2 linked regions of the Stegostoma tigrinum genome follow. The protein of the gene in region 2 purifies or fractionates together with the protein of the main gene of each other region. This does not show direct contact. Links are inferred from orthologs where the notes say so. Each region holds a gene or a part of one and is shown on either strand. Other genes may lie near its edges.

Region 1 (7,803 bases), on a different chromosome or scaffold from region 2:
GATTATTAATAGGAATACAAAAAGAGCAACTATCGAACATATGTGGATCATTTCGCAATTGGTTAGCACTGCCTCACAGTGCCAGGGTCCCAGGTTCAATTACACCCTTGAGCAACTGTCTATGTGGAGTTTGCACATACTCCCCATATCTGTGTGTTTCCTCCCATAGCCCAAAGATGTGCAGGTTAGATGGATTAACCAGACTAAACACCCCATAGTGACCAGGGATGTGAGCAGAGATCATGGGAACTGCAGATGCTGGAGAATCCAAGATACCAAAGTGTGGAGCTGGATGAACACAGCAGGCCAAGCAGCATCTCAGGAGCACAAAAGCTGACATTTTGGGCCTAGACCCTTTTATTTCAGAACCCTCTCCCCATCCCCCTCTCTGATGAAGGGTCTAGGCCCGAAACGTCAGCTTTTGGGCTCCTGAGATGCTGCTTGGCCTGCTGTGTTCATCCAGCTACATACTTTGGTATCCAGGGATGTGCAAGCTAGTTGGATTAACCATGGGAAATGTGGAGTTATGGAGTCAGGGTAGGCGGTCAGTCTGGGTGGGATGCTCTTCTCAGAGGGGTGGTGGTGATTTGATGGGCTGAATAGCCTGATTCCACACTGTATGGATTCAGCAATTCTATGTGACGAATAATTAAGCAGTTCAGTTGAAGAGTGAGGGAAGTAGGATCGCCAGTCCAAGTAAGAGGGGAAAAAAATGTCTGACACTTGCAAGTTCACACTAGAGAACTGAAAAGTGTCCAAGAGTAGCACGTTATTCCCTAACACAAACAAATTTGCTGCAGAAGCTCAGCAAGTCTGGCAGCATCAGGGAAGGTAAAATCAGAGTTAACACTTTGGGTCCGGTGATCCTTCCTCAGAACTGACAGTGGCGAGAAAATATCAGTTTTTATGCAGAAAATAGGAAGGTGGGTGGGGTAGGGGGCAAACGATAGGATAGAGCACAAAAGAGAGAAAAAAATTGTTAGACAGATAAAGGAGTTACTAACGATCAAGCTGGGAGGGTGAATAGTTGTTAATGGGGACTGTTAGTGACTAACTACAGAGGGTGTGTAATGGCAGGCTATGTGGTAACAAGGACAGGTGTGTGGGGTGGGGGGCTGGGACATGGGAGAGTTTAGGCCCTAAAATTATTGAACTCAATATTGAGTCTGGAGGGCTCTGGGTCCCCAAGCAGAAAATGAGATGTTGTTCCTCCAACTTGCATTGGGCTTCGTTGGAACACTGCAGCAAGCGAGAGACAGAGATGTTAGCCAGGGAGCAGGGTGGTGCGTTGAAGTGGCAGGCAACAAGTAGCTCAGAGTCTTTCTTGCGAGCAGAACATAGATGTTCTGCGAAACAGTTGCCAAGTGTACGCTTCTTTCCCCAATGTAGAGGAAGCTACATTCAATAATTTTATGGCCTAAACCCTCCCATGTCCCACCTGCCTACCCCACACACCAGGCCTTGTTACCACAAAGCCTGCCATTACATACCCACTGTTGTTAGTCATTAACAGTCCCCATTAACAACTATTCACCCTCCCAGCCTGATCATTGGTAATTCCTTTGTCTGTTCCACTGTCTCTCTCTCTTTGGGCTCTATCCCATCGTTTACTCCCTAACCCACCCACCTCACTATTTTCTGCAGATAAACTGACGTTTTCCCATCTACCAACAGTTGAGAGGAAGGTCATCAGTCCTGAAACATTAACTTTTCTTTTGCCTTCCCAGATGCTGCCAGACCTGCTGAGCTTCTCCAGCAACTTTGTTTTTGTTCTGATTCACAGCATCTGCAGTTCTTTTGGTTTTTACATCATTCCGTAAGTTTTGCTGACAACGTTGTATGGCATGGAGATGTTTATTTCTTTATTGTAAAATAATTGTTTCTCTAGTCAAGACAGCACTTTAACCTGCACAGTCATCCAACCATGTATCATCAGCCCCTTCTCTACACAGTCTTCGGTGCCAGCTTTTCAGCCTTATCGCCTAGAGACTAATGGTCAGTCTCCAAATGTACTCTCATGACACCCAGCTCTACTTTTATCAAACCTCTGACCAGGCCTTTGTTGTCTGCATACATTTTCCTCCAATTGAACACTGGTGGAAAGCAGAAAACACAATTTTCAGTCCCTCAACAAAATCCACAGCCCCAAAGGCATCATCCTCCTACTGCACCGCTGATTTCTATGAAGTCAGAAGTTGCAAATAAAAAGGCACCATTCAATAAAGTGTTTCAGAGAGAGTAAGAACTGTAGATGCTGGAGAATCTGAGATAACAAGGTGTAGAGCTGGACGAACACAGCAGGCCAAGCAGATCAGAGGCACAGGAAAGCTGACGTTTCGGGCCTAGAACCCCCTTTCTTCAGAAATTAAGTACTTGGCTTCAGCCATCAACATCTTGGACATCACCAGGACGAACTTCTTCAACTTAACAACACAGTCTGCTCCAGCACTCAGTCAAAAAGGAAGCAAAAATGCAAAAAGAGAACTGCAGATACTGGAAATCTGAACCAAAAACCGAAAATTTGGAGAAACTCAGCTGATCCGGCAGCATCTTCAGAGCTGGGGGCACTTACATTACACTATAGAACCAAAGGCTACCTGTCACAACGCCCAACTTGATGGTTTACACGTCTCCTTTCGCTCAAACTCCTCCAGACTTACAATCTCCCACATCTGGCAGTGGTTTGATGTGATGATTTGGGCTCGATGTGCATCTTTCCATAGTCCAATCCCAGTCGGCCACCTTAGCCCTACTTCGGAGAACTCTGCCCACTGCCTCTACCTCCATTGCTCCCCCTTTGGGAAACAGCTGTCTGCTCTGTCCCTTTTGACCTCCATCTGCCCAAGACCGGTTTACAGCGAGGTCACTTGAAAAATCCATGTATAATTCTGCTGCAAAACAGACACACAATTCCGGTAGAGTGTTCGATAAGGCAATACCTGAACAGGATTAAAATAAGATACGAACTGACCTCCGCGGCACACGCTGCCATAAAATGTGGAAAGCTCCTGAGCTTTTCCCGAGTGCGGCTCCAAACCTCCGTCCGCGGCATCGCCCTGGGCGCGGCCATCTTGACTCCGTGACGTGATTCCGCCGACCGCCGCCCCCGAATGGACGCACGAGGTCGGCGAAGCGGCTATCCATTGGACAGCGGCGGTTGTCCGTCAAAGGAGGCGGGACGATGGCAACAATCGGGGAGAAAGTGGGCTTCATGCAGCGGGTGAGCGGAGAACGTAGGGGGGGGGGTTAGAATGGTGGAGGTGGAGAGAGGGAGGGAGGGAGGTAGGTAGGTTAGTTAGTTAGTTAGAGTGGTGGGTGAGGGAGGGGGGGTTAGAGTGGTTGGTGGGTGGGTGAGGGAGGGGGATCAGAGTGGTGGGTGGGTGAGGGAGGGGGATCAGAGTGGTGGGTGGGGGAGGGAGGGGGATCAGAGTGGTGGGTGGGTGGGTGGGGGAGGGAGGGAGGGAGGGGGATCAGAGTGGTGGGTGGGTGGGTGGGTGGGGGAGGGAGGGAGATCAGAGTGGTTGGTGGGTGGGTGGGGAGGGAGATCAGAGTGGTGGGTGGGGGGGGAGGGAGATCAGAGTGGTGGGTGGGGGGGGAGGGGGATCAGAGTGGTGGGTGGGGGGGAGGGGGATCAGAGTGGTGGGTGGGGGGGAGGGAGGGAGAACAGAGTGGTGGGTGGGGGGGGAGGGAGGGAGGGGGAACAGAGTGGTGGGTGGGGGGGGAGGGAGGGAGGGGGAACAGAGTGGTGGGTGGGTGGGGGGGGAGGGAGGGAGGGGGAACAGAGTGGTGGGTGGGTGGGGGGGGGAGGGAGGGAGGGGGAACAGAGTGGTGGGTGGGGGGGTGGGGGGGGAGGGTGGGGGAACAGAGTGGTGGGTGGGGGGGTGGGGGGGTGGGGGGGGAGGGTGGGGGAACAGAGTGGTGGGTGGGGGGGTGGGGGGGGAGGGTGGGGGAACAGAGTGGTGGGTGGGGGGGTGGGGGGGGAGGGTGGGGGGGAGGGTGGGAGGGAGAACAGAGTGGTGGGTGGGGGGGGAGGGTGGGGGGGAGGGTGGGAGGGAGAACAGAGTGGTGGGTGGGGGGGTGGGGGGGGAGGGGGGGGGGAGGGTGGGGGGGTGGGGGGGGAGGGGGGGGGGGAGGGTGGGGGGGAGGGTGGGGGGGAGGGTGGGAGGGAGAACAGAGTGGTGGGTGGGGGGGTGGGGGGGTGGGGGGGGAGGGAGGGAGGGAGGGAGAACAGAGTGGTGGGTGGGGGGGGGGAGGGAGGGAGGGAGGGGGAGGGAGGGAGGGAGGGAGGGGGAGGGAGGGAGGGAGGGGGATCAGAGTGGTGGGTGGGGGGGGGAGGGAGGGAGGGAGGGGGATCAGAGTGGTGGGTGGGGGGGGGAGGGAGGGAGGGAGGGGGATCAGAGTGGTGGGTGGGGGGGGGAGGGAGGGAGGGAGGGGGATCAGAGTGGTGGGTGGGGGGGGAGGGAGGGAGGGAGGGGGATCAGAGTGGTGGGTGGGGGGGGGAGGGAGGGAGGGAGGGAGGGGGATCAGAGTGGTGGGTGGGGGGGGGAGGGAGGGAGGGAGGGGGATCAGAGTGGTGGGTGGGGGGGGGAGGGAGGGAGGGAGGGGGATCAGAGTGGTGGGTGGGGGGGGGGAGGGAGGGAGGGAGGGGGATCAGAGTGGTGGGTGGGGGGGGGAGGGAGGGAGGGAGGGGGATCAGAGTGGTGGGTGGGGGGGGAGGGAGGGAGGGAGGGGGATCAGAGTGGTGGGTGGGGGGGGGGAGGGAGGGAGGGAGGGGGATCAGAGTGGTGGGTGGGGGGGGGAGGGAGGGAGGGAGGGGGATCAGAGTGGTGGGTGGGGGGGGGAGGGAGGGAGGGAGGGGGATCAGAGTGGTGGGTGGGGGGGGGAGGGAGGGAGGGAGGGGGATCAGAGTGGTGGGTGGGGGGGGGGAGGGAGGGAGGGAGGGGGATCAGAGTGGTGGGTGGGTGGGTGGGGGGGGAGGGAGGGAGGGGGATCAGAGTGGTGGGGGGGGAGGGGGATCAGAGTGGTGGGGGGGAGGGAGGGAGGGGGATCAGAGTGGTGGGTGGGTGGGGGGGGAGGGAGGGAGGGGGATCAGAGTGGTGGGTGGGTGGGGGGGGAGGGAGGGAGGGGGATCAGAGTGGTGGGTGGGTGGGGGGGAGGGAGGGAGGGGGATCAGAGTGGTGGGTGGGTGGGGGGGGAGGGAGGGAGGGGGATCAGAGTGGTGGGTGGGTGGGGGGGAGGGAGGGAGGGGGATCAGAGTGGTGGGTGGGTGGGTGGGTGGGAGGGAGGGGGATCAGAGTGGTGGGTGGGGGGGGAGGGAGGGAGGGAGGGGGATCAGAGTGGCGGGTGGGGGGGGAGGGACGGGGATCAGAGTGGTGGGTGGGTGGGTGGGGGGATCAGAGTGGCGGGTGGGGGGGGAGGGAGGGAGGGGGATCAGAGGGGCGGGTGGGGGGGGAGGGAGGGGGATCAGAGGGGCGGGTGGGGGGGGAGGGAGGGGGATCAGAGTGGTGGGTGGGTGGGGGGGGAGGGAGGGGGATCAGAGGGGTGGGTGGGGGGGGAGGGAGGGGGATCAGAGTGGTGGGTGGGGGGGGAGGGAGGGGGATCAGAGTGGTGGGTGGGGGGGGAGGGAGGGAGGGGGATCAGAGTGGTGGGTGGGTGGGTGGGGGGATCAGAGTGGTGGGTGGGGGGGGAGGGACGGGGATCAGAGTGGTTGGTGGGTGGGTGGGTGGGGGGATCAGAGTGGCGGGTGGGGGGGAGGGAGGGGGATCAGAGTGGTGGGTGGGTGGGGGGGGAGGGAGGGGGATCAGAGGGGTGGGGGGGGAGGGAGGGGGATCAGAGGGGTGGGTGGGGGGGGAGGGAGGGGGATCAGAGGGGTGGGTGGGGGGGGAGGGAGGGGGATCAGAGTGGTGGGTGGGTGGGGGGATCAGAGTGGTGGGTGGGGGGGGGAGGGAGGGGGGTTACAGTGGTGGGTGGGTGAGGGAGGGAGGGAGGGGGGTTACAGTGGTGGGTGGGTGAGGGTGGGAGGGGGGTTAGAGTGGTGGGTGGGTGTGGGAGGGAGGGGGGTTACAGTGGTGGGTGAGGGAGGGAGGGGGGTTACAGTGGTGGGTGGGTGAGGGAGGGGGGTTAGAGTGGTGGGTGGGTGAGGGAGGGAGGGGGGTTACAGTGGTGGGTGGGTGAGGGTGGGAGGGGGGTTAGAGTGGTGGGTGGGTGGGTGAGGGAGGGAGGGGGGGTTACAGTGGTGGGTGGGTGAGGGAGGGAGGGAGGGGTGTTAGAGTGGTGGGTGAGGGAGGGAGGGAGGGAGGGAGGGGGGTTAGAGTGGTGGGTGGGTGGGTGGGTGAGGGAGGGGACTTACAGTGGGGGGTGGGTGAGGGAGGGGGTTAGAGTGGTGGGTGAGGGAGGGAGGGAGGGGGGTTAGAGTGGTGGGTGAAGGAGGGAGGGAGGGGGGTTACAGTGGTGGGTGAGGGAGGGAGGGTGGGGTGTTAGAGTGGTGGTTGAGGGAGGGGGATTACAGTGGTGGGTGAGGGAGGGAGGGGGGTTAGGGTGGTGGGCGGGGGGGAGGGGGGGTTAGAGTGGTGGGCAAGGGCGGGAGGGAGGGGGGTTAGAGTGGTGGGCAAGGGCGGGAGGGAGGGGGGTTAGAGTGGTGGGCGGGTGAGGGAGGGAGGGGGATTACAGTGGTGGGTGAGGGAAGGAGGGGGGTTAGGGTGGTGGGCGGGGGGGAGGGGGGGTTAGAGTGGTGGGCAAGGGCGGGAGGGAGGGGAGTTAGAGCGGTGGGCGAGGGGGGAGGGAGTGAGGAGGGGGGGTTAGACCGGTGGGCGAGGGGGGTTAGAGCGGTGGGCGAGGGGGGTAGGGAGGGGTGTTAGAGCGGTGGGCAAGGTGGGGTGGGAGGGGGTTAGAGCGGTGGGCGAGGGAGGGAGGGAGGGGTGTTACAGTGGTGGGTGAGGGAGGGAGGGGGGTTACAGTGGTGTGTGGGTGAGGGAGGGAGGGGGGTGACTGTGGTGGGTGAGGGAGGGAGGGAGGGGGTTTAGAGTGCTGGGCGAAGGGGGGAGGGAGGCAGGGGGGTTAGAGTGGTGGGCGAGGGGGGAGGGAGGCAGGGGGGTTAGAGTGGTGGGCGAGGGGGGATGGAGGCAGGGGGGTTAGAGTGGTGGGCGAGGGGGGAGGGAGGCAGGGGGGTTAGAGTGGTGGGCGAGGGGGGATGGAGGCAGGGGGGTTAGAGTGGTGGGCGAGGGGGGAGGGAGGCAGGGGGGTTAGAGTGGTGGGCGAGGGGGGATGGAGGCAGGGGGGTTAGAGTGGTGGGCGAGGGGGAGGGAGGGGGGTTAGAGCGGTGGACGAGGGCAGGAGGGAGGGGTGTTAGAGCGGTGGGCAAGGGGGGGAGGGAGGGAGGGAAGGGGGTTAGAGCGGTGGGCGAGGGAGGGAGGGAGGGGGGGTAGAGCGGTGGGCGAGGGGGGAGGGGGGTTAGAGCGGTGGGTGAGGGGGGGAGGGAGGGAGGGAGCGGGGTTAGAGCGGTGGGCGAGGTGGGGAGGGAGGGAGGGAGGGGGGTTAGAGTGGTGGGTGAGGTGGGGAGGGAGGGAGGGAGGGGTGTTAGAGCGGTGGGCAAGGCGGGGAGGGAGGGCGGTTAGAGCGGTGGGCGAGGTGGGTAGAGAGGGGTGTTAGAGCGGTGGGCAAGGTGGGGTGGGAGGGGGTTAGAGCGGTGGGCGAGGGAGGGAGGGAGGGAGGGGTGTTACAGTGGTGGGTGAGGGAGGGAGGGGGGTTACAGTGGTGTGTGGGTGAGGGAGGGAGAGGGGTGACTGTGGTGGGTGAGGGAGGGAG
Region 2 (7,670 bases):
ATTCATTCAAATTTAAAATATTTGCCACCATCTGAGGTAATGTTACCTTGTTTAGATTTTCTGCTATATAGCCTTTTCCGCACCCAATGTCCAATGCAAGGGGAAAGGTTCTAAAGCAAAACAAAGTGAAATCACACACAGATAAAATTTCCAGCATTCTTTTGCAGAACATTGTGCTAGCATTTAAACTGGAAGAGAGAGAATGATTAAAAGGTTGAATACACTGCAGATAAAGGAAATACTAAACGAGTCCTTACAGAAGAGATAACACAATGGTCTCAAACTTACCTTACAATATCAAAAACACGGTCCACAACTCTGCTTCCAACCTGCACAATTGCAAAATTATTGTGATCTAGAGGACATAAAAAGATATCTCATGACTGCAACTTAAATATAAAGAAACAGTTTGCTTTGTAATCGATCAGCCATGATCTGACTGAATGGCAGAACAAGACTTGAGGTGCCAAATGGCCTGTTCCTCTCTTATTGGCTTTATACAATGAATCCCACCCCCACTTCACCCCTTCCAGGTTTTTGTGAAATGGGTAGATGCGAGTCCGTCCATCTCCGCCAGATGCGAACTCAGCTGATGATGTCTCAAAATTAGAAACGTTGAGATCAGGTATGTCCCAACAGAATATTTTATATCTGCTTCTACAGTGCAGGAAGTGGGGGTTAAGGCTAGATCTGGTGGAGCAAACTCAATGGGTCAAGTATCCCTACTCCTAACAGAATGTTACTTTCAGTTATGATCAGAACAGCATCAAAACTATAGTCATATTTTAAAACAGAACAACCCAAGGGTATCAGAGAGTAAAGCAGCTTGTATTTACATAATGCCTTTAACAGAATGAAGTATCACATGAGCATTAAGACAAAATATGACACCGAGCTACATAAGGATTTACTCAAAAGGCAGACTATTGTTTAAATTGAGCAGAGAAGCTCTCAAAGAGCACAGAGGCACGTAGTTGTTCTTTTGAACATAACAAAAAGTTATCTTGCAGGTACAGCAAGTATTTAAGGCGGCAAATGGAATTCTGGTCTTCAATGTGAGGGGATTGAGTTTAAAACAATCAGGAAGTTTTGTTGTAACTGTACAGGGTGTTAGTGAGGCTATATCTGCAGTACTGTGTACAGTTTTGATCCTTGCATTTAAAAACTGATGTTTTGACATTGGAGGAGTTCGAAAGAGATTCACTAGACAAGGATAAAAGGGCTGACTTATTGAAAATGGCTCAACAGGTTGGGCCTTTATTCAGTACAGTTTACAAGAATGAGGGGTGATCTCAGTGAAACATACAAGATTTTGAGGGGCTTGACAGGTAGGTGCTGGGATGAATTTCCACTAGTGGGGAAATCTCAAGTTACAGGATATAATTAAAGAATAACAGTACACCCATTTAAATTGAGATGGGAAGGAACTTCTCCTAGACAGTAGTTAATATCTGGAATTCTCTACCCGAGAGTTGAAGTAGATCACAGAAAGTATTTAAAGAGGAGATAGATAGATTTAAAAAAAAAACAGAGGGGTAGAGGGCTATGAGAAAGAGGATTTGAAGCCTAGGGCAGATCAGTCACGATTTTGTAGACTGGTGGGGCAGGCTTTAATGGACTACTGTTGCTCCTACTGCTTATGATTTTTCAGATGATGTGACCTAAACCTGGGCCAAAGAGGCATGCTTTAATAAGTGCCTTACAAGGAGAGCGCTACAGAATGAATTCCAGAGCTTAGGGACCAGACAGCTGAAGGCATACCCACTTAATAGTGAAGTGTCTGAAATCAGGGATGCTCAAAGGGCTGAGAGGGACACAGGGGGTTTGGATCCAGAAGAGGTTCCACAGATACGGAAGATCAAGGGTATGGACGGATTTGAGGACATTTTAAAAATTGAGGCCAGTGCTTGATTGGGAGTCAATGAAGGCAGCAACGATGGCTCAGTGGTTAGCACTGTTGCCTCACAGCACCAGGGAACCGGGTTCAATTCCACGCTCAGGTGACCGTCTGTGTAGGGTTTGCACATTCTCCTTGTGTCTGTGTGGGTTTCCTTCAGGTGCTCCGGTTTCCTCCCAGAGTCCAAAAAGGTAGAGGTTAGGTGGATTGCCCACGCTAAATTGCCCTCAGTGTCCAGGCATGTGTAGATTAGGATGTATATCAGGCACAGGAAATGCAGGGTTACAAGGAAAGGGCAGGGATTTGGCCTGGGCAGAATGCTCCTCAGAGGGTCAGTATGAACCCATTGGGCCGACGGGCCTGTTCCCACACTGTAGGGATTCTATGAGGTTTAATAGCGTGCTGAAAGGCAAACAGGACTTGATTTAAGGGCATATGATTCCAGATGTTTAGCAGTGAGATTGACCCAAGTCTTTTAACTAGCCTTTGAAATGGCTGAGTGAGACACTGAAGGGCAGTTCGGTACGAACTATAATTACTGATCTTATCTGTAAAGTCTGCATGCCACGACTGAACGAGGAGTTGAGATACAAATCTGTCCCGATCCCAGTGAATGCCAGAAACATGTCGGAGGGGCTAAATGGCCTCATTTGTAATGAGTGCATAACTTACACCAAGCAACAAGCTATCAGCCTGCGCTACTGGTTTTAAATGCCTTCATATCGTTATTAAACGTGGTGAACTCTCAATGTGCTAACCTCCTCCTTCAGATAATCATATCTCTCGCTCCCGGGGATGGAGGACGCCCAGTTTTTCTGCCGCCGCTTCATCTTTCTGTCAAACACGTTCATCGGGCTCTCCGATCTCGATGACCAGCGCCGCCACCCGAGGTGGGCGATGCTCCCGGAGCCCGGAGGGCAGCCGAGGCTGGAGAGAGAGAGGAGGCGCCGGAGTCGGCACGGAATCCCGCTCATCTTCCCGGGGCCCCTAGCGAAGGGGGAAAGGCCGCGGAACGCGCTCCATTGACGGTTCCCTTCTTCCTTTCGTCCCTTTCTCTCCCACTCCCCGAGGGCTCCAACCGACTAGAAGGAGCCCAAGCCGCCGGAACTACCACAGAGCGCATGCGCCAGTCGGCTCCGACCGAACCATTCGGCCCGGGTAGGATGGGGGGGGGCGTTATGTGGAGAAGTCGTCGGCGCCCGATGATGTCGAGCGGAGCTGAAAATTGTGCCCCCCCCCCACTCTCCTTCCGCTACCATTCAACGGGGAGCCCGCGAGCTTGACCACGCCCCCAGGTGGAGGTGAAGGGTCACGGGGCACTGGCCAAGGGGACGCACGCGGATCGGAGGTGGGTACACGCGCTCTGCCAGCTGGTTACCTGTTGCTTGGCCAAGCGGTAGTGTCAGCTAGCGAGTTTTGAGAAGATTTGTAGCTCAGGTTGAGGTTCTGAATGTAAGGATACGAGTGATAGTGTAAGGATACAACATAACCCACTATCACTCGTATCCTTACATACAGATGAGGAAGGACACCACTTTGATTGGGACAACACATCCATCCTAGGACAAGCCAAACAGAGACACGCACAAGAATTCCTAGAAGCATGGCATTCCAACCGGAACTCCATCAACAAACACGATTTGGAGCCAATCTACCATCCCCTGAGAAAAAGAACCGGAAATGGCATCACCAATGCAGGAAATGACATCAACACAGGAAATGACATCACCAACCCAAGGAAACCTAACCAGATAAATAGAAAGCAGGACATAACACCAGCGCTTCGTCGGAGGCTCACTGATGTTACCTAGAATGGTGACAAAACGTCTGAAAACTAACCTTCCAGCTCAGCGAGCAAACTCACATCCGGTAGTGTCGGCATCTGGTGAGCCCGTGGTGGTGGGTTCGAACACCCCCTCTCCCCGAGGCTGTCCGGGGTCGTTTGGGGAAATGTGATTAAATCTGGTGCTGCCAGATTGCTATCCCGGTCTGAACCGAAGGTTCACCCTCCAGGGCCCGCACAATTAACTGTAAGAGTGAACGTGTAAGTGGTGGGGTCTATTTAAAGGGCATTTGGACAGCTACATAGATATGAAAGAATTAGAGGGATAGAGGCCAAACACCGGTTAAAGGGGACTGGTTTCGCTTAGGAGACATGGTTGGCATAGGCGAGTTGGGCCAAAGGGCTTGGCTGCAGAGATCTCAGGAGGTGATGTGAGTGATATTTGAAAACAAAAGTGAGAAAGTTGTTTGAGATAGTACTTGCTGCCTCAGCTGAGGGTTGTCAGACCAGTCATGATTCATTGAATGGTTGAGCAGACTTTGATGGGTTGCATTAGATTCCCTGCAGTGTGGAAGCAGGCCGTTCGCCCCAACAAGTCCACACCGCCCCTTGGAGCATCCCCCCTATAACCCACACACCCCTGAATACTACGGGCAATTTAGCATAGCTGATCCACCTAGCCTGCACATCTTTGGACTGTGGGAGGAAACCGGAGCACCCGGAGGAAACCCGCGCGGACACGGGGAGAATGTGCAAACTCTGCACAGACAGTTACCCAAGGCTGGAATCGAACCCGGGTCCCTTGCACTGTGAGGCTGCAGTGCTAACCACTGAGCCACTGTGCCGCCCTGCTAGTTTCTGCTACTTCACCTTATGGTACTCTAGTTTAGCCCCCAGCCTGATGCGGCAAAGCCAGTGTTGTGCTCTGCAAAATAGAAGAACTGGCTGTGGATATGATGATGTTGAAGATTCGAACAGACATTTACTCTAACTATCATAGGGTCATACAGCACGGAAGCAGATTCTTCAATCCGACTCGTCCCTCCCGACCAGATATCCCAATCTGACCTCGTCCCATTTGTCAGCATTTGGCCATATCCCTCTCAAGCCGCCTTATTATGTACACATCCAGATGCCTTTTAAATGTTGTAATTGTATCAGCTTCCATCACTTCCACGGGCAGCTCATTCCATACACGCACCATCTTCTGTGTGAAAAAGTTATCCCTCTGGTCCCTTTACAATATTTCCCTTCATAAACCCATACCCTCTAGGGTAAAATATAAAGACTTTGGCTATTTACCTAATCCATGCCCCTCTTGATGTAATAAACCTCAATAATGTCACCCCCTCAGCCACTGACACTCTGGGGGGAAAAGCCCCAGCCTACCTCGCCTCTCCCTGTAACTCAAACACTATGTATAAACATTACATTCACGCCTAAGTATGCAAATTAAGCTATTAATTGTAACATTAGACAAGTTTGCAGAAGAATCTCATGCTTCAAGTGACCCGGGGGTAAGATGGAGTATAAGATTTTTTTACTCTCAGGTTACGTGTGAAAATGATGGTGTAACTGAAAGTGTCACCTTCAGACATAAAACAACAATATGGACATGGGAGTAGAATTTTGAATGATCTTAATTTTAGACATTAATACGAAGGTTGAAGTGGGTGGTGTTAGACTGGAAGAATTTGTAAATTGTTTTGAATGAATAATAACAAGATAGCAGATGCAATTCAGAAATTAGAAAAGGGTAGAGATAGTCAAGGATAAGGTTGTAGACATGCTCACTGAGCTGGTGGGTTTGGTTGCAAACGTTTCTTCACCCTGCTAGGTAACATCGTCGGTGTGCCTCTGGTGAAGCATCGGTGTTCTGTCCTGCTTGTTATTTATCTCCCTCAGTTTGCTGGGATGGTTGGTTTTGTTTCCAGTTCTGTTTCTCAGTAGTTTGTACACAGGACCTAAATCAGTGTGCTTGTTGGTGGAGTTCCGGTTGGAATACCAGGCCTTCAGGAATTCCCTGGCGTGTCTCTGTTTGGCTTGTGTGATTATCGCTGTGTTGTCCCAGTTGAATTTGTGTCCCTCGTCTGTGTGTAGTGAGGCAAATGAGAATTGGTCATGTCTCTTGGTGGCTAGTTGGTGTGTGTATATTCCTTATTGTCAGTTTTCTTTCGGCTTGGCCTAAGTAGTGTTTCTCACAGTCCTTACATGCTATTTTGTATAGTACAGCAGGCCTGGTGGCATCTGTGAAAGGAAAAAACAGAGTTAACTTCTCTGGTCCAGTGACTCTTCCTCGGACCTGAAACGTTAACTCTGTTTTTTTCGTTCACGGATGCTGCCAGACCTGCTGGGCTTTCCCAACAATTTTGTTTTTGTTCCTGATTTACAGCAGCCGCAGTTCTTTTGGTTTTTACTTTGTATAGTACGTTGGTTTTGCTGGTTTTGGGTATGGGATCCATTAAGTTCGTCAGTAGCTGTCGTAGGGTGGTTGTCAGTTTGGGCTGCCGTGATTCGTCGGGGTCTAAGAACTCTGCTGGTCATCTCTGAAATGTCCTTGATGTGTGGTAGGGTGATTTGAGAGTCTGGCCGTGTTGTGTCTTCCTGTTCTGGTCTGTCTCGGAGGTAGTAGCAGATTGTGCTTTTTGAGTATCCATTCCTTTTGAAGGCTCCGTATGGGTGTTCCTGTTCTGCTTTGCATATTTCCAGGTTGCTGTGTCGTGGCTCGTTTACATAGTGTCGTGATGCCACTCTGTTTGTGGGTGTTGGGGTGGTTGCTCGTGTAGTTGAGTATCTGGTCTGTATGTGTGGTCTTTCCATATACAATAGTCTAGAGTTCCTTGCTGTTTTTGCATTCTACTATTATGTCCAGGAAGGGTAGTCCATTGTTGTTGTCATTGTCTTTTGTGAATTTTATCCCGATGAGGATGTTGTTTATGTGTCAGTGGTTTCTTCTAGTTTTGTGCATTTGATAATCATGAAGGTATCATCTACATATCGGTCCCAAAGTTTGATTGTATAATGGTGCTGTCCATTTTAATCTTTGCATTACTGCTTCTGCAATCAGTCCTGATATTGAGGATCCCATTGGTGTTCCGTTTTTTTCTTTGTATGTGCTGTCGTTGAAGGTGATGTAGATCGTGAGGTGCAGATCTAGTAGTTTCATGGTGGTGTCCTTTTTGATGTTGGTGGTGTCCTGGGTTGTCTGCTTACTTGATTTGTTCAGCAGTGTGGCAGCTGATTCTTTGGCTAGATTGATGTTTATGGATGTAAATGGTGCTGTTACGTTGAAGGATATCATCACCCAGTCCTCTTCTATCCGGGTGTCCTTCACGTTGTTGAGGAATTCTTTGAGCCTTTGAAATGTGGGTGCTGAGGTGTTTGTTAAAAATACCCTGTACTGACCGTCAGATAAATGAAGAGGCACTTGGAACTGCAAGAGCTAAAGGAACTCTTTTAAAAAAAATTGACATGAGGTAAATATTGGCATTTTGGTGCCTTAATCTGAACTGAGAAGCTACCAAGCTTGCTCCTCAAGGGCAGCAGAAAGACGCATAAGCCAAGGCATAGTTAGAAGATGGATGGCGTAGATCAATTGCAGGTGTGTGAAGCTGGAGTTGGAAGGAGGATCATAACGTGCCATTGATAGCAGGCCTGGTAGGAGCAGCTACTTAGAAGAGCTGGAAGGTTGGTTAGGTGTGCATTGGGAACAGTTAGGCCCGGAGGTAGGGAGAGCATAGGTGAGGATATGCTAAGGCAGGAGTGGATGATGGAAATGGTCAATTCCTGCATCTCATAAGGGTCATGAGAGCAATAGTTAATATAAAATAAGCAGAACATGATTTGACAAGGCAATCCCAAATTTTACACTGGAGAATTAACGGAATAGTTTGTTCTGTAACAGAGAAACCATCAAATGTTGTTCCAGCTCCAATTATAGCCAATGACCAACAGTACAAAAAAACAATCAATACCAAAAACATTAGCAAA

The links.
Region 1: the proteins of ndufaf5 (region 2) and ndufaf8 purify together in Homo sapiens (affinity purification with mass spectrometry; 3 studies listed by BioGRID and IntAct, counting the BioPlex papers as one, with this or other methods). This does not show direct contact. The link is inferred for Stegostoma tigrinum from reciprocal best matches to the Homo sapiens genes NDUFAF5 and NDUFAF8.

The regions. Positions count from the first base shown.
Region 1 is NC_081375.1:24,522,775-24,530,577, forward strand, and holds the start of ndufaf8 (NADH dehydrogenase [ubiquinone] 1 alpha subcomplex assembly factor 8), read right to left. Parts: upstream 3,098-7,803; 5' UTR 3,071-3,097; coding exon 2,972-3,070; intron 1-2,971. Other genes in the region: AP-4 complex accessory subunit Tepsin, read left to right, coding at 3,182-3,220. UniProt on the Homo sapiens protein: Involved in the assembly of mitochondrial NADH:ubiquinone oxidoreductase complex (complex I, MT-ND1). Required to stabilize NDUFAF5.
Region 2 is NC_081362.1:6,034,053-6,041,722, forward strand, and holds the start of ndufaf5 (arginine-hydroxylase NDUFAF5, mitochondrial), read right to left. Parts: upstream 3,103-7,670; 5' UTR 2,872-3,102; coding exon 2,656-2,871; intron 330-2,655; coding exon 289-329; intron 111-288; coding exon 47-110; intron 1-46. Other genes in the region: ESF1 homolog, read left to right, coding at 7,044-7,156. UniProt on the Homo sapiens protein: Arginine hydroxylase that mediates hydroxylation of 'Arg-111' of NDUFS7 and is involved in the assembly of mitochondrial NADH:ubiquinone oxidoreductase complex (complex I, MT-ND1) at early stages. May also have methyltransferase activity.